Arabidopsis thaliana: one gene and its partners. The protein of the gene in region 1 interacts with the protein of each later gene in a pairwise test. Each region holds a gene or a part of one and is shown in the gene's direction. Other genes may lie near its edges.

Region 1 (9,010 bases):
TACCAGAACCGACTCTGGAAGGAGCAAGAGTCGTGGCATCGACCCAACCTCTGTATACTTTCCCGAAACCTCCTTGACCCAACATCGAATCCGGTTTGAAATTCTTCGTCGCCGTCTTTAGATCCAGAAAGTTATAGACTTTGAGATTTGGCGATTCCAGTAGTTTACCGGAATCACTTATAATCCCAGTGGAAATATCGGAGAATTGGCTCTGTTGTCCGACGCTGCTGTTTGTTGTCGCGCCGGTGGTTGACGAGAACTCTGTTCCATTGCTGTGGTTGTTCGTTGTGGCTGCTTATCATTAACAAAGACAGAGAGAGAGAGAGAGATCAGAAAGTGTAGATCTTTTAGGTTTTATGCAAGAACCCAGAAAGAAAAACAACAACTTGTAGAGATTAAATACCATGACTATGGAGACCTGTTTTGGAAGGAGAGGAAGAAGAAAAGAACGAAATACAAGCACCCATCAATTTCTAATGAGCCTTCTCTTTCTTCTTCTTCTTCTTCTTCTTCTTCTTGTTTTACCAATTCAGACAAGAGCTAGTGGATATGGATCTCAAGTCAGTTGGTTTATTTGAGTTTTTATTGCTCGAGTTTAGAACTATTGAAAGAGGCAACGATGGGTTGCAAAATAATTTTGACTTAATTTAGATAACAAAATAAAATAAAGGGAGGAAAATTGGGGGTTGCTAGCGTGAACCGAAGAAGGGTTTTGGTCTACCTTTTCATTTTTTATGCATTTCTTTCTCATTTAAAAGAAATTAAAAAAAAACAAACGAAAATGCCAAGAAGATGGGACCAAAAAGAAGAATCATAGCCTAAGAGCCTTTTCTATCTATTTATGATCGTGTGATCTGAAAAAAATAATTGAGAATTTTGTTTTTACTTTGGAAATCTTTGAATTATTTGTAATTTTATTTCACATGTTTTTTTTTAATCACTGTCCACATCATTCAAAAAATAGTAGAGATGTGAAACCGTTAGGAAGTAAAAAGACTTTTGCTTGTGCCAGCAAAATGCTTAAAAGTCATCCTCTCAGTCACAGTGCTTGGACGTTTGTGTCTTTATGGAAATTTCTCATTCATTTCCACAAATATGAAAGTCATTCGACTTCTACTATAGTCTATAGAGCTGTTTCACAATTAGAAACACCAAAATTCTCCAATGGCAAAATTAGAATATATTTTTCTTTATATGAATGCGTAAGAGAAAAAAATTTCTTCACTTTGTCAGAGATGTTCGTAAGTTGGCCTTTTTTCAAAACATCATACTTTTCATTTTTAAATGATCATATAATATATAGATCTTTTTTTGTTTGGTCAAATATATATATATAGGCCTTTTAGATCAGAAAATAAAGTATTGTTATTTCTTTTTTAATATTAAAACAAAAAAAATGATCTTCACCAAAAAATAACAAAAAAAATTTTTGATCAAAAACACTGAAAATGACTTCAAAATGATACTTGACCACGTACAAAATGCCAGTTGCATGGAAAATGAAACAAAGAAAAACATTTTCTCATTTTCGTAAATATTGACGTAGGATCACACACACACGTATACACACTTGTAGACTTCGAACTTCTTTGTACGATACACGTTAATTGATGGTCTTCGTCGTGTGGACAGAGTCGTCGTAGATTTTCAAAGCACGAGCTGGGACCACTCAAGAACACACATAACCAATAGCCTTAAACAAAACTGGTCATCACACTTTTGAAAGTTTTTCTTGACTATGGATGGGTTAATTTGGATCAGTTCCTAAACCATGATTTGGGTTTGATCTTTCACCATTATATAAAGAAATTCGATCTTAATTGCTACCTAATTGCACTAAGAAAAAATAAAAGATTCAATTCTGATATCCGACCACAAAAAATCATGATACAAGAGTTCCTCTCTTCTTGGAACTTCTTATACCAAAAACAAACATGGCTTAGCATCATCTGTTAGACTTGTAACTAACATTTCTAAATACCAAAACGCTTCACAGAAACCCCTAACTAACTAATATATCCGATGTTACTGTTAAAGGACCTAAAGTCTTTAAGTGGAAGAGGAAGTGACAAGAGATTCTTGATTCTTCTTGGCTCTAGAAGCCCTGTGTCTTTTCTTGAAGTTTTCTTGTCTGAATTTTTTGGTTTCTATCCCTATCTCCATGAATGGTCTCTTCACTATATTTCTCTTCTCTGTCTCCAGTTTCTCCTGTTTCTTAGCTACCGCCATTGCTGCTGCTTCATTCTTTTCCTGCTGCTTCTCTGCTTCCCTCTAATCAATACCAAAACAAATCAATGCTTCTTTCAGTGAATTGATGTATTAGGATTGATAAAGAGAGAGAGAGAGAGAGAAGACCTGAAGATCGTGGATGAGACAGTCGAGAGATTTGATCTTCCTATGAGGCCACCGTGGAATCCCAAACTCTCTGCATTTCTTTTTCAAAACAGTGAGACCGACCTTGAGATTCCGAGAAGCTTCCACGATAGTGAGGTCAAAGTATTTTGAAAGCTCTTCTAAGGATAGTTCAGCAACATGTCTCGATGGTGTCCTCTTCTTCTTCTTCAAAATCTCAGTCTTAGCATCTGTGTTTTTACAATAACCCGAAATTAATCACCAAAATGCTTAAAACTGGACCTTGTACCAAAAAAAAGAGAGCTTAAAACTGGCCTAGAGTTATATATTATCTGGAAGGCAAGTCTATTGACATTTGAAGAAAGAGATTTACCTGATTCCGACTGTTCAGTTTTATCGTTTTCAAATTCCGAATGTTCGGTTTTTTCGTTTACAGATTCCTCGGATTCGGTTTCTGAATCAGGAAGGCAGTTAAGATCTTGTTTCAGAACGAGCTTTCGTGGTTTAGGCAGATCAGAGTTATAATATCCCTCTGTACTGCTACTGCATTGTTCTTCTTCATAAATCTTTGATGGTTTTAACTCGGAGATAAACTTGAGCTCGTTGGCTAAATTAGGGATGTCCTCCAGTTTGGGATTTCTATCAATAAAAAGAGCAAAAACATGTTTGGTTGCTAAAAATGCTCACAACTCAAGTAACACTACAATGTGCTTTTTTTTTAGTAAAATGTTAAGTTTTAGAACATCTATGAATTTCTTTTACCGAATACAGAGATAACAGAAGATCGAATTCTATGCAACACTACAATGTGTTATTGTTACAAGCCTATTTGTTCACAATTAGGTAATCTTAACTCATTCACTTTACATAGTCCATTGCTATTTTTGTGCCATTGTTGTCAAAATTTGACAGTCTTGGAGTCAATAAGACAGTAACACTATATAATCTACAATTCGATTCAAGAGACCTAATTCTAAAAAAAATCAATCTGTTATGTGAAAAATATAACAGCACCAAAAATTTTTAAAACAAAAACGTTCCGAATAATGAATGAGTCAAAACTGGCGTTACCTGGAAAGACAGAGAAGAGTAGGAAACCGAGGAAGCGAGTGATTAAACCGGAACACAAAGATACAACGCCACGTGCCAAAAACCGACCCTTCCGAGATCTCCGGTCGCCGGAAATCTTCCGAACGAAACAGAGGCTTCGCTTTCTTCTCTACATAACAGCTTTTGCTCTTGAACCAGAACTCTCTCTCAATCTCCACCGATTCATAGACATGCAAACTCCTCACCATCTCTGCATTAACAAAACCCATAGAAACAAAATAAAAACCATTTTTCAATCCGACCCGAGTCATTCCGACCCGATTCGAGATTCTAGTCAGAGTTTTGACTTACCTTTGCGGATGACGCTCTGGAAAACGGCGAGTGAGGTTAAGGAATGTGCCATGTCCGAAGAAGACCAAGAGTCGCAAAAGCAGAAGCCCAAGATTTTAACATAAAAAAGTTTTATTAATATATTTTTCTTTTTTTCCTTTTTTAGTGTGAAAAATCTGCAGAAGAATCCAAGGTTTTATGTACTTGAAGCGTTTGTCATTAAGTGAAAAGGCTCCAAGAAAAGTAGGTTAAAATTTTACCCTTGGTCCACCATCGAAATTACCAAAAAGGCAGAATATTCCGGAACGCACGTGTAGGCAAGCGGAGCGTGCGAGGGTAGTTATGTAAAATTAACAGTGGGAAGCGGGTTGCACCGAACCAAGCCCATGTAGCTAAACACTCACACGCGCGACGCATGTCTGAAAAGTGGTAATTGAATTTTGTTTAGAATGATTCTACAGAGGTTGAATTTGGTAAATGAATCAGAGGAATATTAAGCATTTGAGCATAATTTCCAATTTGGTCAGATTATGATATATGTAAATATGTCCATGATTCATTTTCTGTTTTTGGGTTCTCTTTGTTCATTTATTAAGTCATGGGCTGAAGTTTTCATATTTTAAGTCATGGGCTGAGTTCTCAAGGACTAAAACTGGTATTGATATTATGATCTGTTAAAAGCCAATTCATTTAAGGTGTTCAAAATCTAAACTGAATAATTGCGTTAAATTAAGCCGGACATGTTTCAATCAAAAGTCAATAGAATGTGTCAAAATACTCTGGGTACTTGGGTAGTATTAGTAACATTAACTTACAAGGATTTTTCTCTATATAAAAATACAGAGTACTAGTTTTGATTTTATCTGAGTGAGAACTTTCTAATAAAACTCTAATCGAAAACAATTAATATTTTGTATAAAATGGAGTGTAGAACCTAAATATTTTGTATTGCTTGGATATATAGTTTTTTTTCTTCTTAACATGGATATATAAGTTCTATTTCGTACATATTTCCCCTAATTTTAATGTTGAATTTTGGAAAACTTTTGTTGGATAGTGACATGAAGACCCTAATTTTAATCATAACATTTTGGAAAACTTGATTGGGTGAGTGATATGGAGGTGATGTTAACGTATGTTTGGTATCAATAGTTGGTCCAATTAGGCCCAAAGAGTCAAAAAAGGTGCCCAAGTGTTGTCAAAAGAGAAAACAATTAAGAATAGGGCAAAGCTTGGCCAGCAAGATTTAGTGGTCATTTCCTAGAAACGTGTCCAAGAATTTATAAAGATGGGTTGTCTTATAAATACATATCGTTCACGTAATTACCTGAGATCAAATCTTAATCATATCATTCATCGTATATAGACTCCAAACACGTTTTTCAAACTCCTATGATCATGTGTTCTCTCTTTGCCTCCGTCTTTGATTGCTTTGTTCCAAAATCAGACTCAAAGATTAGCTCAACTGATGAGAGTGACTTGAAAGTCCTGTCCTCAAAGAAACCAAAAAGCAAATCCCCGAGAGCTCCGATTATGGTGTCTTACTTTCCCGCCGGTTCAAACCTTTCGCGTCTATAAGTGCCAAATAGAAGAGAAGAGAAGATGAAGTATTGGGATGTTGATTTTGATATAAACGAAAGAAGTTTTTGGTTGTAGACATGTTGTATGCGCAGGCTTTAATTTTATGTTTTATTTAATTATGTACAAATAGACCATTTAGATTGATAGCATCATATATATGCTTTGTATTTAAGACCAAATAAAAGATTAATGTTTATATACATGCGTAAAAATGTTAAGAGCTTAGTTAGTATCATTTTCAAAAACTGATTGTCACTTGAGCTTTTATTTTTCTTATTTTTTTAATTAAGAAAAGTTGTGGCCCTCAAAAAGTTACATGGAATCGGAACAGGAAAAAAAAAATGTCGAAAACTGATTAATCTAGGCAACGTTATCGCATTTTCATATCTTACAAATCCCTTTTTCAATTCAGATTTGGTAGAAATGCAAGGAGAGTTCCATAGTGTATATGTAAAATTTGTATAAAACGTCTAGAAGAATTACAATGCTGAATTTGTTGGAAGCTCTGTTTTTCTCTGCTTAGACGTTTCCAACGTGTTTTGGGTTTCTCTGATCACTGTAAAGCCTAAACCACAAGAGAAGAAAAACCACGAAGCTTTGGGCTTTAAGGCCTTTTTGGGCCCTAGCCACAATAATGGAAGCCTATCAAGAAAAGACAAGACAAGACAATAAGACAGAAGAGGACAAGTGTTTAAAGTGGAAGTTATCTTTCTCACGTGGTCTAAAGAAAGGTTAAAAAAAAAGAGGGAAAAAAAAAAGAAGATGAGAGAAAGCAAAGTGTTGAAGACTTTTTAGAAAGCAGAAAAAAAAGCAGAGAGTGTATTCAAAGTCGGAAAGAAACCCTAAAGAAGAGGATTATGGGTGCTGTATCGATGGAGTCGCTTCCTTTAGGTTTCAGATTCAGACCTACCGATGAAGAGCTCGTCAATCACTACCTCCGTCTCAAGATCAACGGACGTCACTCCGATGTCCGTGTCATCCCTGATATCGATGTCTGCAAATGGGAACCTTGGGATCTTCCTGGTTCGTCTCTTTATTCTCTCAAAATTTGATTCCTTTTATTCTCAGATTCTGTTTTCCCTCTCAAAGATTCCACCTTTTTTTTCTTTACTCAATTGGAAACAAATCTGATTGTCGGCAGCTCTCTCGGTGATTAAGACGGATGATCCAGAGTGGTTCTTTTTCTGCCCTCGTGATCGGAAATACCCTAATGGTCATCGCTCTAACAGAGCAACTGACTCTGGCTATTGGAAAGCTACTGGTAAAGATCGTAGCATCAAGTCTAAGAAGACTTTAATCGGTATGAAGAAGACTCTTGTCTTCTATCGTGGACGAGCTCCTAAAGGTGAGCGGACTAATTGGATTATGCACGAGTATCGTCCCACTCTTAAGGATCTTGATGGCACTTCCCCTGGCCAAAGCCCTTACGTTCTTTGTCGCCTCTTCCACAAGCCTGATGATCGGGTTAATGGTGTCAAGTCCGATGAAGCAGCTTTTACGGCCAGCAACAAATACTCACCTGATGATACATCATCTGATCTTGTTCAAGAAACACCTTCCTCTGATGCTGCTGTTGAGAAACCATCAGATTATTCAGGTGGATGCGGTTATGCTCATAGTAATAGTACCGCAGATGGGACAATGATTGAGGTATGAATGGAAACTCTTGAATAATTAATTAGGCTTTTTTGAGTGACTTGACTAATTTTGAGTTTTGTGTTCATAGGCACCTGAAGAGAATCTTTGGTTATCTTGTGACCTTGAAGATCAAAAGGCACCACTACCGTGTATGGATTCTATATATGCTGGTGATTTCAGTTACGATGAGATTGGATTCCAATTTCAAGATGGTACCAGCGAACCAGATGTATCACTAACAGAATTGTTGGAGGAGGTGTTCAATAACCCTGATGACTTCTCTTGCGAGGAATCGATCAGTCGAGAGAATCCAGCAGTCTCACCAAATGGGATATTTTCATCTGCTAAAATGCTGCAGTCTGCAGCACCAGAGGATGCTTTCTTCAACGACTTCATGGCTTTCACTGATACAGATGCTGAGATGGCGCAATTGCAGGTGAGCACAAAGATACATATTTTGAGGCCTATACAATTTTAGAAGTATCCAAATTATTTTGCTTTAAGTAGGCTAGAAACCTCTAGATCAGTTATCTTTACAATCACTCTTGACATAAGTAAAATGACAATTTTTATCTTTTGTTTGATCAGTATGGTTCAGAAGGTGGAGCTTCTGGTTGGCCAAGTGACACTAATTCATACTATAGTGATTTGGTTCAGCAAGAGCAAATGATCAATCATAACACAGAGAACAACCTCACAGAAGGGAGAGGGATAAAGATCCGGGCTCGACAGCCTCAGAACCGGCAGAGTACAGGATTGATAAACCAGGGTATTGCTCCAAGGAGAATCCGTCTGCAGCTGCAGTCTAACTCTGAAGTAAAAGAACGAGAGGAGGTGAATGAAGGACACACTGTTATTCCCGAGGTACGAGACTAGTGATTCCAAAAGTTGTGTCTTAGACATCAATAACATAAAGGATGCATCTTTTTAATTTGTTGTTAATGGTGGGGATGTGCAGGCCAAAGAAGCTGCAGCTAAATACTCAGAGAAGAGTGGTTCTTTGGTTAAACCTCAAATAAAGCTCAGGGCGCGGGGAACTATAGGCCAAGTAAAAGGAGAGAGATTTGCAGACGACGAGGTAAGAATGAGTGAACTTGTTTACACATGAATGAAGAAAGAGTATAGTAGTAAGCTCTACTAAATACTATAGAATTAGAAAGAAAAAAAAGAGAAAGCAATCAGTAGAGCATGTGAGATCAGCTAGTAATGATAAAAGAAACTGAGAAGTATCTTTGTCTAAAGAGAAGTTTGTTGTGGTTACAGGTACAGGTGCAGAGCAGAAAGAGACGAGGAGGGAAGCGATGGAAGGTGGTTGCAACGGTAATGGTGGCTGTGATGGTTGGGGTAGGGATGGGTATATGGAGGACACTGGTGAGTTCATGACACATGAGACACAAAGAGAGAGAGAGAGAGAATCAAATGTAGTTTAATGTAATTAGGGATGATGCAATGTTAGCATGTTTGTGTGTTGTAACTTAAAAACTTATTTAGGAATCTGATAAAAGTTACTGTTGAATTTACACGGATGGTCAAGATTAAATGTACCAACATCTTAATTATCTACGGTCAAGATTAAAAATACCAACATCTTAAATTAACACCGCATCAAAGAATTATCTCAATCGTCGTCTCTCCCCAATTCAAAAAAAGAAATAACCTAAACGTGTTCACACAGAGGTAAGCTCGCTCCTACTCGCCGCCTCATCTGAGTCAACTCCGAGTCAGCTATTTTTCCCCACCGGATTCTCACTTTTGTTCCTCTCTGTGACAGATCTCGAGATGAAAGATAACCAAACGGAAGTTGAATCGAGGAGCACTGATGATAGGTATCTTTATATTTATCCGTAATCTCGATTCTTAGATTCAATTTGTTTCCGTAGTTTTGAAATCGTCTTTTATGATTCTCAGATTGAAAGTTAGAGGGAACAAAGTTGGAAAGAAAACAAAGGATCCAAACAGGCCTAAGAAACCACCAAGTCCTTTCTTCGTCTTCCTGTAAATAAAAATCACTAATCTCTCTTCTTCTTTTTTCTTCACTAATTTGATTACAGTAATTAAT
Region 2 (5,247 bases), on another chromosome or scaffold:
ACATCAAGTAAGAGAAAATTAACAAAGTACTTTGTAGAAAATGGTGCAGCTCTCAAGAAACTGACAGTAAGTGCCTGTTTCTGTAACATCATCGACGAAATCAAAGCGATTCCAAGAAGCTCTACGAGTAGTCAAGTTGTCATGGATTAATTGAGCCAGCTTGTGAGGTCTATCGTCTCCGATAAATCCAGTTTTGTATCCGATGATGATCTACAGAGCAGGGTTTCTACTCTCTGTTGGTGTTATAAGAATTAAGAATGATAAAACATTAAAACCAGATGTGCTATTAGATAAAAATATCTTATTTTTATTGGGACGATGATATGATATTCTTTTATTTATTTTTATTGGGACGATATATTTTTTGTTTTTACGTAAATCTTGGTTATTATAGAATTTGGATTTTCAAGTTAAATTAACCTTCTCAGTTGACCTTTAAATAGCCGCATTCACGTGAAATACGTGATCAAGACTCACAAACCCTAAGCAGAGTAGGGTGATCTGATCGTCGTTCCTTGCTCAGTACTCTTTCGTGATTCTTTGTTTGACTCTGAATTTTTCATCTTTTTTTTTCAACTCTGGGTAAAATCAGACATACGTTTTCAACAGATCTGTGTTTATAATATAGTACTCTTCGATTTTTTTTTTATCATACAATGCAGAAGTTATAGATGATGACTGAGAAGAAATCTGTTGGTTATAATATAATCAAAGATATGATTAACTAATTACGAGATTGTTTGCTCTATGATTTACTTTTCAATCTTCCCACGGAGGATGTACTGTAGTTATATATTTTTGACTTTTTTGTTTGTTTTAATTTCTGATAATAGTTGTAGTTATTGTTCTTATAGTGTAATTACATTTGTCATTTTTATTAATACGGACTCGTGTGGTATATGGTTCGTGTAGTTGTACCTCCTTATAATGGAAGATAATAATGCTAAATCTATGATACATATATATTCAACCAAATTCTGATGTATCATTAATTTTGGGTTTATATTTTTACTAGAACTTCAATAATAGAGAACTTTGACCAAAAAAAAAAAACTTCAATAATAGAGAACAAGAGGTATGAAAAGTAATATGTTTAAAGCATATAATTGTGTGCCACGGATAAAATTTTGCTATAAACAGTAAAACACACAAAACTCCAAAACAACAGAAAGCAATGCTTTCAACAAAGCACTCATACAATAGTATTGAACCACACTGATAATGAGCCATAGAAATAAGTGGTCATCGATATTTATATTTTGCTAAATAAGTAGTCATCGAGATCACTTCATCAACTTTTATCGTCTCTTATGGAACATCTCAGTCAGCAACTTAGCAAGACATTGAACAATTTTTTTTTTTTTTTTACCACCTAACAAACAAAATATTTAACTGAATACAAACAACTAATTATTTTATATACCGTTTTATAGTGGTGATCAAAGTAAAGACAAAACAAAAACCAAAAAGAAGATATACATATATATTTTATATGACATTTATGTTGTATAAAACTCAATTCTGCTATTTTGATATTATTGTTAAATTATCATATTCAGATAAGCAATGAAAAGCATGTAACGTGAAAGTGTTTTTGTCTGCTGCTTGGAATTATAACATACACTTTGTCAAAAAAGAAAGAAAAAAACACCTACATATATGCATTGATCCATCAATTACAAACATAAACACTTTATATATACGAACTCACCAATTTAGTTCATTTGTACCTAACCCAAATAAATTTCCATTGACCTCATCCATCTCCTGTTCTCTCTATATATATCCACTCTATCAAAGTATTCACTCACAGAAACACAACCAAATCCCAAAAAATAAACTAAAAATTTCTTGCTTCATAACTAATTAATTAATATCTAAAATTATACAACAAAATCAATCAGGTAATGGCTCGTCCAAGGATCTCCATTTCGATGATTTGCTTACTCATTTTGATTGTTGGTTTTGTCTTGCAATCTTCTCAAGCTAGAAAAGTTCTAGTCCCTTACGGCACAAGCAAGGGTTTGTTTCTTAGTGCCCTACCCAAGGGCAATGTACCACCTTCGGGTCCAAGCGACAAGGGTCACACTTCTCCTCCGGATGATACCGACCAGCGTATGGTACCAGAAAACTCGCCGGAGATATACCGTCGACTAGAATCAGTCCCTAGCCCCGGCGTGGGTCATTAGGCACATTAATTGATTGTCGTCTTTTCACTTCATATATGTTGACATGTTGTCGAATTCTATTCACAATGATATCATATACCGTTCGTAAGTCTTCTCAAGAATGTTTGTGTATGTGTGTCTTCATATATAATTGATATAGATATGTTTGTGTGTGATCCGATCCGTTATTGAGTAATAAAAAACCACTATTCTACACTTTGATTTATCATTTATTCAATTATATATGTTGTCGAATATTGCAGATCTCTATATGTAACGACATACAGCTTTTGTCCGTTTGAAAATATTATGTATTTAGAGAAAACTTAGTTTAAATGATATTCTTATGACTTATTTGTCAATTATCGCTTAGAAAAACCGAAGTTATCAAAACTATTTTTGTCATATCAATTTTTTTTCTTGCATTAAAGAGATTGAGTTCATGTGTACACTTTCTTTTATAATTAAAAAAATTATATTCTCAAAGTATCAGAAAATTTGATTAAATCCTCGTTTTATTTTCGATAGTGTGTATTTAGAAGAACTACATTCTTAATTTGGTAAAAAAATTCATTTGTGGGTATAAATAATATAAGGCTATTAATAGTTGCCCAATTGTAGTTCACACGGTGTCCAAAGAATACTATAGACTCAAAGGGACAAATTACATCATACGATTTTTACACAAATATAAACATGAACGTACGATTGGTGCCCACCATAATCGATACAATGTAAAAAGGTTGCGTACGTAAATCATATTCTTCATGAAGAAAGCTACATATAAAGCCTGTAACTTAGAAAGTAAACAATAATTCAAAAGCTTCGTTTTGACATCTTCGTAGAAAAAGTTGATGATTTGACAATAATTATGTCTGTTTACGTAAGAGACGTCTTCCTCTCTCCAGTTGACATTTTTGTTTAGTGAAATTGAATAGATTCAGGGTTTCGACTAAAGAGAAGAAGAAGAAGAAGAAAAAAGAAAAGAGAAAATAGACATGCAATAATATAAGGAACACCATTATTGCTCATCTCAGGGATTATACTATTTAAGGACTTACTTTTTGCCAAGAAGCTCTTTCCTCACTTTCCTTTTTTGTATTTTCTTAATAAGTTTAACTAACCAACTAGTAGTAAGATGGAGCCGCTTGTTATACACATTCAATGCATGTGTATATCTTTAAGTAGTGTTTTTTTGTTTGTCAAGTGATAATAATTACTAACTTCAAGTAGTTTTTTTTTGTTTTTGTTTATATATAGTTAAATGTATACAATATAATATATATAGACTGTATTAGAATATATTCATAATGATCATTATCACGAATGGTGTTTGTGTTTGCCATTGGACGGCTGCGAGAGAAAAGACGAGTAAGAAGAAAAATTTAGGTCTAGGAGCTTTATTGCTCTGATTCCATGATTATAGAAGTGATGATTTTATTATAATACAGAGATGAGCTTATATACAAAGAGAGATATCTAGGGTATTACAATCAAAGTAAATGTGAATATATGACTATAGATAAATAGACTAATGATTGATATAATCAAAGATATGAATATTATCTAATAGACTGTAGTGAAAATCCTAGACACAAATATTTCTATTAAAATTTTACTTCTAATAATAATTAAAAAAAAAATTGGGATATTCCTATGACTTTCCATATGTAACGTCATGTCACATAAAAGTGTTGAAAATGGAAATCCTTACTTTGAATTTAACTCAAGAAAATTTTAAAATCATATTGTCGAGTTATATAACCCAAAACTAGTAGGTTTAGATAAATATTACATGACACGCTAATGTTATATCAAAGCATGAATTCTGCTGTCAGATGAATGTGGTTACAATCTCAAAATCATGAAAACTGTTGAAAAAGTCATTTATAAAATGTTTTGCTTCCAAAACCCAAAGCTAAAGTTTAAATCGTTCAATGGGTCATTATCATACATTAGTCTACATAAATCTTGGTAAATTTGCACTATTATAGATTCGTTTGAAACTTGTGAACCACGTTAATTTCATTATCAGCAAATGAATTGTACCAATTTTTTATACCATTGGTGCGTCGTTGTTATAGAACAAAATCCATTATTTTCGCTTCATATTCTTTGACAATGATGTATCGAAGTTCACTTCACTTTACCTGGTAGAGTTGTTAAGTGTTAACTAAGACATTGGCCATCTTTATTTGACATTACCACAAAATAAAGTAAAACTAAAACTTATGATTTTGCACTCCGTATGAAACGGCACGGTTGATAGAAGCGGATAGTTACGGGCCTTACAGGCTTATAAGCCCAAAATTTTCAAGCTAAAAGCCCAAAAATACAAAACTGGCTTGTTGCAAGTAGTCGCTCTTGAAACAGCGTGAGTTTCCAATTAAAACAATTAGATGAGTACCCGCACGTAGTGCGGGTGTATGTATTATTATTTACAAATTGTTTTATATAATGTTTGTTCATATAAAGTAAAGTTGAATGCATCGGTTTTGAAACATAAATATGATTTGTAATTGTTTTTAAAAAGTCCAACTATATTAGTTCATTTGAAAAACGAATGTGCTTGAGTTCTTTTTTATTGTTGTTTTAAATTCTCAGTTTTTTTTTAATTTATATATCTTTGTTTTTGGTTATAAATGTAAATTGTGAGACGGTGAAATTTTAGAAAATTTATTTCTTACACTATAAATATACCATGTCTTTATTAACCATGTCTCTGCATATTCAATCTAAGCTTATTCAACTTGATGTTCTTGAAAAGTTTAGTTAAGTTCTTGTTATAATCTTATATCTTACGTTTTAGTTATAAGGATGGCTCCTCAAACATCTTTCAAATTATTTGTTTTCTTAGCATAAATCTCGAAAAGCTTAGATATATTTAATCTGCATATTCATTTAGTTTCTTTCATAATAATCGTCTAATTTTTAGGCAAGTAATATATGTAGCATGTTTGGATTTTTAGCCACTTAAGTGGATCTCGAAATTAAAGAGGATATATTGAATTAAAAAATGTAGAAAAAGTGATGGTTCAAGTTCTGATTAATTATATTCTTTATGTTGAATTAATTACTA
Region 3 (6,464 bases), on another chromosome or scaffold:
AAGATCGTACGTATCTTCGCTTGTTATGCTAAAGGGAAGGTTACAAATGTAGAGTAGGCGAGTCACCTCCGGTGGGAGCCTGGGGTTTTGTTTATCCTTTCCCGTGCGAGGAGGCATTGTGGTACCTTCTCTTCTTCCTTTAGCCGGAGAGAAAAAAAACTTCTCATGGAAAAAAGAAAATTTTAGTGTGATTTCGATAGACGCACGTGAGAATTTTTTTATAGGGAAAAAAAGGAAAAAGATATTAAACCGTCATTAATTGATCATAGGCAAAGGAGAAATTATTGACGGTGTTGTGTAAATCATTAAACCCAACTACCCAAAGGAACCTACCGAACCTATAATTTGTAACTAGTTTGATGGCACTGCTAATTGAGGAATGGACATTTTAACCAAACCGAACCGAACCAAACAGAACCGACCCAAACCAAATCCAATCTTAGACTCAAACTATTCAGTTATGTTTCTTCTCACTCAACTGAAATGGTTCGGTTTGGTTTGTTTTAAACCAAACCGAACCAATAACCTTATATGTTTATTTAATTAATTAATTAGTAATATTGTATATTAGTACATATGTAATTATTTGTAGTTTAATTTTTTTTTTGGTTTATTTGAAGGGTGAATTAGGTGAAAAACCATTCTAAATAAAGTTATTAAATATCTAACACTATAATATGCATAATTCATTGAATAGCACATGTGAGGTGTAAAAATACAACACACTCCTTCCTACTCGTAAGTCCGTTGTCTTCTATGCTCGTGAGGATAATTCAATATCTTATTGTTGTCTTCACTACCGAACGATTCTCCACCAATTCACAATCTAAGAAATTGCACATTAAATGATGAAAAGATGGGAAAAAAAAAAATTGGTGAAGAATCGTTCGGTAGTGAAGGCAACAATAAGATAAAATCGTTTGGGTCCTTCGATCTCTCTGAAGCAGATCTACAATCAGTATTAATACTAAGGCTAGGGTTTGGTTAAGAAGAAGAAATAGTGGCCATAACAAAATAAATATGAAGGAATCATGAGATATATAGAAAAAAGAAGGAGATGAGAGACTATAGAAAACACAGAAGATACATGAAAAGTATGTTTGATGTTTACATAAAGGGTACAATAGTCCAAATTACAGAATATACAAAGAATATTACATACATTTTGTTTTTGGTTAGTTACCTAATTAAAGTTTTTTTAATGTTATGTACAAATTTCCCTTATTTGAATTATTCAACTTAAATTTTGCAACTTGAACTTGTTGCTTAACTTAACTATGATCAAATTCAACGTTCAAACAATAATGAACGAAATAGTTTTGTTTCGTTATATTGATTCGTCTTTCAGAACCGAATTAAAATCAAACGAACTAAAAACAAACCAAACCGAACATAGATTGACCCAAACCCAAACCAAACCATACTAACTTCAACTACTTTCGGTTGAGTTTGGTTAGAATTTTACAAAACCCAAAAAACCGAACGGAACCAAACTCAAACCGAATCCGAAGTTAAACCTAAATGCCCACCCCAACTAATTCCATAAAGTGGTTGAGTTTTTTGGCCATTTATACCGGATATTTTGGGTAACTCGGTATATGTACGGTTTAGCTAAACCGACTGAAACTACTTAAATTGGAAAAATCTATCAATTTTTTGCAGTCATCATCAAAGCTTTCTGATACCTGAACAACAACAACAACCCCTAAAATCTCGGAAGCCATAATGAGCAGAGCATTGTTCAGGAACGTAGCCGTCGACACCGCTCGGCTCATACGGCGGAACGCGGCGGCGTCAACAGACCAATATGGTAAGACCGGAGTTGCTCAATCGAGACCTTATTTCCGGTCACGTCAGCTTCTCGAAAGAGCAAAAGAAACAGGAGTCTCACCTTCTCCTTCTTTGGGTTTCTCTTCTTCTTCATCTCCGTCGAGGATTGGGTTCGTTGGATGGTATCTTGGTATGGTTAAATCACACCCAGTTGTGACCAAAAGTGTCACTTCCTCTCTTATTTACATTGCCGCCGACTTGTCTTCTCAGGTACTAACTTAGCAATTGGCTTTTACTGGAAAAAGGAGTTTCCTTTTCCAATTATGGTAGCTAAAAATTACGTCTTTTTGTGAAATTTGTACTCTTTAGCTATGAGATTCACAAATATAAAATGGCTTAAGTTTTGTTTGGGAGATGTTTCTAGGTCTTTGATACTAATATCAAACAGTAGGAGAAGTAAAGTTTGGTTTTTTATTGGAGGAATGAGACTTCTTGAAATGGTGATTTAATTAGCTCTGTGCAATGTGAATTTTGAGGAGTTCTATTAGCTACGGTTACGTTTCCTTGTAGTGTGTTGGTTTTTTGGAGCTTTCTACAGTGTGAGTACTTGCTCTTAAGAGCTGACGTTGGTTGGTTCATTTTGTTTTTGATCTTTGTATAGACGATTGCGAAAACTTCTTCTGAGTCTTATGACTTGGTGAGAACAGCAAGGATGGGAGGATATGGTTTATTTGTCTTGGGTCCAACACTTCACTACTGGTTCAATTTCATGTCAAGACTCTTTCCTAAACAAGATTTGATCACAACGTTTAAGAAAATGGCTATGGGACAGACGATCTACGGGCCTATTATGACTGTTATTTTCTTCTCATTGAATGCATCCCTACAAGGTAAAGCTCCTTGTATATATCTAAGAACAGGATTGTGTTAGGATAGGAAGAAACAGACTAACCCGTTTAACATATCTTTTCGTTCTTCTATTGTCTCAATTCAGTTGAAAATTCTTCACAAAATTGTGATATCGTCCAACTCTGAAGTTTATCTATTGTGAACTGTTGCTTGCCATTACAGTTTTACTCAACTCTTAATCAGTTTTGCTCGTGGCTAGTATGTGTCAATGGTGAGAATGATAAGTGGTGATTGATTGGTTATTTAGATAAGAAGAAACCCGCAATCTCGAATTAACAAAACTGAGAGAATGTAGTTTCTGCTCTTAGTTTTACTCTGAATTACATAGGTTTTATAACAAGTCGCCTCTCTGCTTCTTGAATTCATTTCTTGATGTCAGATTTGTTTGATCTTGGACATGTTCTAAGCTATTCTGCTTTTCCGATATTTGTTCAGGGGAACGCGGTTCAGTTATACTTGCCAGATTGAAAAGGGACTTACTCCCCGCGCTCTTTAACGGTGTCATGTATTGGCCTCTATGTGATTTTATCACATTCAGATTCTTCCCTGTTCATTTACAGGTAATCCTTTTGACTCGCCATTCTTGTGTTCAAGACACAAAACAAAAAAGACAATCCTTTTACGTTCTCCATTACTTTTTGTGTTCTTGCTGCTTATCTCAGGATGCACTCACTCTGCTCTTGCTTTTATTTCCATGCAGCCTCTTGTAAGCAACTCATTTTCGTATGTATGGACTATCTACATGACTTACATGGCAAACCGTGAAAAACCAGTCGCAATTTCAACCTGAAACACTCACATATCTTCTACATCGACTCGGGCAATGCCTCCCTTAGTGCTCAGTTATCGCCACATCAAACTGCAATGAGCATTCTTCAAAATTATTCTGTACTGTCTGTAGAATTAGGTTGTTACAATGTAAGAGCTTGGAAGAACTTCTCATGTCAGACATGTATATCACGAAGTAATGAAGTTTTGTTTCCTCTTATTTGTCTAAGTTATGTTCTGCTTCACTGAAATGTAAGAGGAAAGAGTCTATGCAACTGCTAAAACTTTCTTTTGCTTTCATGGAAAATTTGTTACATTAGACGTGAGGAAAAAATACAGAAAAAAGTAAAGATATCACCTAAACAAATGGTATTTAAACTATATTATATCTATCAGAACTTGTACAATCCCAAGAACCTTTGTTTCCCATTCAAAGCTTCCTCAAGAAATTTCTAATTGCAATTCCACTCAAATCCAAAGGAAAGAATCTCAGGCAAAGGAACCAAATCTGTCAATCAAATATGATAATCGGTGTATCGCTAAATTACGGCGTTTTTTCTACAACTTTACTCTTCAGAAGCACGGCAACAGATCTTTTCTAGCTGTATAGGCCATTCCTCTCCAAGAACCCGGGGATTAACCTCCATGGCGGCATGGAAATCCAACATCGATACATTAGACACCGCTCGCTTTTGTTGACTTGCTAAACTCAAACAAGGCTCGATCAGCCTTCTCATATATGCATTCAACCCACGATTAAGAAGATTAGCAGAGTCCATAGATAACTTTATCCCTTCCATCTCCAATTTCTTCTCTAACCGAGCTCTCAATGTTATCATATCAGGTAACTCCCCGCTGCTTTGACACGTCTCACGGTTGATACCATTGTACGTACTAAATCTAGCTTTGCTCTTAAGATGGAAAGAAACACCGAGTGGAGCGGTTAAGGGGCTTCTGCTTTGCACACTCGGACTACCCGTCATTTGCTCAACTTCTTCTCCATCTTCAACAGAGACAACTTCCATAGGAAGTCTTTGAGCCTTTGACATTGACTCATCATTCGTAGTAGTGAGACTTTGAGGCTTCCCAAGTGGACCAAGAGGACTAGGCCGGTCTCTAAACTTCCTCGACCTGCATTTCCTCGGCGAAGGAGGAAACACGGGATCCCCGTAAAGAGATTTCTTCGGATACCTCGGCGGTGGAGACTTAGCAACACTTGCATTCTTCAGAATCGAACGTACAAGACGGTTGTGTAGAGAAATGTTCTCTCTACCAACCGTCTTGCTACATAGCTTATCGAACTCGGACTTGCTTATCCTCGAGGTAAGGAATTTTCCGAGCTGGTCGAAGTAAGTGTCAGCTCTCTGATGCCCAATTTTCTGATAAATTAGGGCTTTAATCTCAAGTGAATTCAATCTCGAAAAACATTGATCTGACCCCATCTTCCAACAAATTTACACCTGAACTTAATCCAAATCCAGCTTCATTCAAAGATCCAGCGAAACTGGTCTCTTCTCTCAATTCCAAGACCTAAAAAACCCCAATTCAAAATCAAAGACATACATTAATTCTTGAGATCGAAGTAAGAGAAGAAGAAGTTCAGGTAGATAACCTGAGCGAGCTAGAGCAAATACGTTGAACAAATTGACTAACTAAGAAAGTAAAATCAAACATAAATTTCTGAAAGAGTCGGTGAAGAATCGTAATTTCGGACAAATTCTAGGAAGAAGGAAGAGAGATTTGAGAAGATCCGAGGTTTATAAAGTATTAAGAAGCTTTATCGAAGAAACAGTGAAATCAATCGAAATTGACTTGAGGAAAACGAAACCCAGAAAGGTAAATCGAAGATTGAAGGATGAATTAAGAGAGTAAGTACGTACCAGTAGAAGAAGCGATTGATTTAGCCGCGAAATTGGGTTTTGTTGTTGTTGAAGAAGAAGAAGAAGTGTTTTTTCTTCGCTTTGTTTTGTGCCCTAAAGGGATTTTTTGTTTTTCCTTTTTGTTTATCGAAAGTGTTCGCTTGTGTTTTGTGTTTTCGTACGTGCGAATTGTGATGACCAAACAAGAGTTGACGGAAGAAATAAACCTCGTTAACTCTTTTCCGTTAGTAGTTCGGACAGTCACACACGTGCGAATTTTTTTTATTTTATTTTTCTTGTTTTTCAGTTCTTTTCAATTTCTTAAATTTTTTTAAAAATATGTTTTTAAAATTAGATGAATGTATTACAAAGAGTAGGATTTAAAAGTCTCAAAGTTTAAAACAAAATATAGAGAGGTACTCTCCAATGCCATAAAAAAAGATAACTAAATAAATAAATATAAATTTTATGAGAGTTTTGAGACTAAAGTTAGAAAACGGTTTGACATATGTAAAATTCCAGTTAGTCGAAAGATCTCCTACGAACAGATTAATAGCCGATATGGTGGTTACTATCAAAAGATGAAATGACGTTGATGAAAAAATCATAGCCATAATTAGCTCCAACACGAGAAAAGAGGTACATGAAGTAGTGCAAACAGGGGTAGACCCACACTGATTAAGGAGACAGCCGCCACCACTAACTTTTTGATTTTATTTTAATTTGAAGGTAACTTTTATAGAATTTATATTATATCCCTATAAGAAATTCAAAAATTTCCCTCATCTTCCAAGTGAGATTACTTTCAAACTCTAAAGCTCATATTACTTTATTTTGTTAGTAGCTCATTTATAGGTTTTCCAAATTGAAATAGATTATTTGACTCCCAATTAAAACTAAAAATTTAATTTAGAATCCAAGTCTTGGTTTGTTCTCTCGTTTCTTCTTATATTTTAAAAGTTAAAACAAAAATCGTTGAGTGAATTATATATTTTTAATAATTATTGTCGTATTGTAAATGTAAAATTTTGAAGGTTTCAGTTTTGATTTTAGTTTTTTATATCGATATCTTGTCTCGTTTGCTATATTAAAAATGAATTGTTTAAATCTATCATTAAAAAATTTGAAAAAAAATTCAAAATGATAAGTGAGCGTAAG

The links. The genes of interacting proteins can lie anywhere in the genome.
Region 2: the proteins of NTL9 (region 1) and AT1G16950 interact in a two-hybrid assay, tested with the Arabidopsis thaliana proteins (one large-scale study listed by BioGRID).
Region 3: the proteins of NTL9 (region 1) and AT2G14860 interact in a two-hybrid assay, tested with the Arabidopsis thaliana proteins (one large-scale study listed by BioGRID).

What each region holds. Positions count from the first base shown.
Region 1 is NC_003075.7:16,887,905-16,896,914, reverse strand, and holds NTL9 (NAC transcription factor-like 9), read left to right. Parts: upstream 1-6,113; 5' UTR 6,114-6,170; coding exon 6,171-6,336; intron 6,337-6,454; coding exon 6,455-6,963; intron 6,964-7,039; coding exon 7,040-7,387; intron 7,388-7,539; coding exon 7,540-7,815; intron 7,816-7,909; coding exon 7,910-8,029; intron 8,030-8,195; coding exon 8,196-8,381; 3' UTR 8,382-8,510; downstream 8,511-9,010. Other genes in the region: CST (Protein kinase superfamily protein), read right to left, coding at 1-294, 404-467; RKD5 (RWP-RK domain-containing protein), read right to left, coding at 2,050-2,271, 2,356-2,582, 2,726-2,991, 3,424-3,652, 3,754-3,908, 3,993-4,006; HMGB5 (high mobility group B5), read left to right, coding at 8,731-8,777, 8,860-8,946. UniProt on the Arabidopsis thaliana protein: Transcriptional activator activated by proteolytic cleavage through regulated intramembrane proteolysis (RIP). Calmodulin-regulated transcriptional repressor. Binds several synthetic promoters with randomly selected binding sites.
Region 2 is NC_003070.9:5,794,176-5,799,422, forward strand, and holds AT1G16950 (uncharacterized protein), read left to right. Parts: upstream 1-1,703; 5' UTR 1,704-1,907; coding exon 1,908-2,189; 3' UTR 2,190-2,491; downstream 2,492-5,247. Other genes in the region: AT1G16945 (F-box/FBD/LRR protein), read left to right, coding at 1-22. UniProt on the Arabidopsis thaliana protein: Extracellular signaling peptide that may regulate primary root growth rate and systemic nitrogen (N)-demand signaling.
Region 3 is NC_003071.7:6,384,825-6,391,288, reverse strand, and holds AT2G14860 (Peroxisomal membrane 22 kDa (Mpv17/PMP22) family protein), read left to right. Parts: upstream 1-1,620; 5' UTR 1,621-1,725; coding exon 1,726-2,040; intron 2,041-2,431; coding exon 2,432-2,660; intron 2,661-3,114; coding exon 3,115-3,239; intron 3,240-3,379; coding exon 3,380-3,469; 3' UTR 3,470-3,708; downstream 3,709-6,464. Other genes in the region: AT2G14870 (RNA-binding (RRM/RBD/RNP motifs) family protein), read right to left, coding at 1-117; AT2G14850 (transcriptional regulator of RNA polII, SAGA, subunit), read right to left, coding at 4,014-4,889.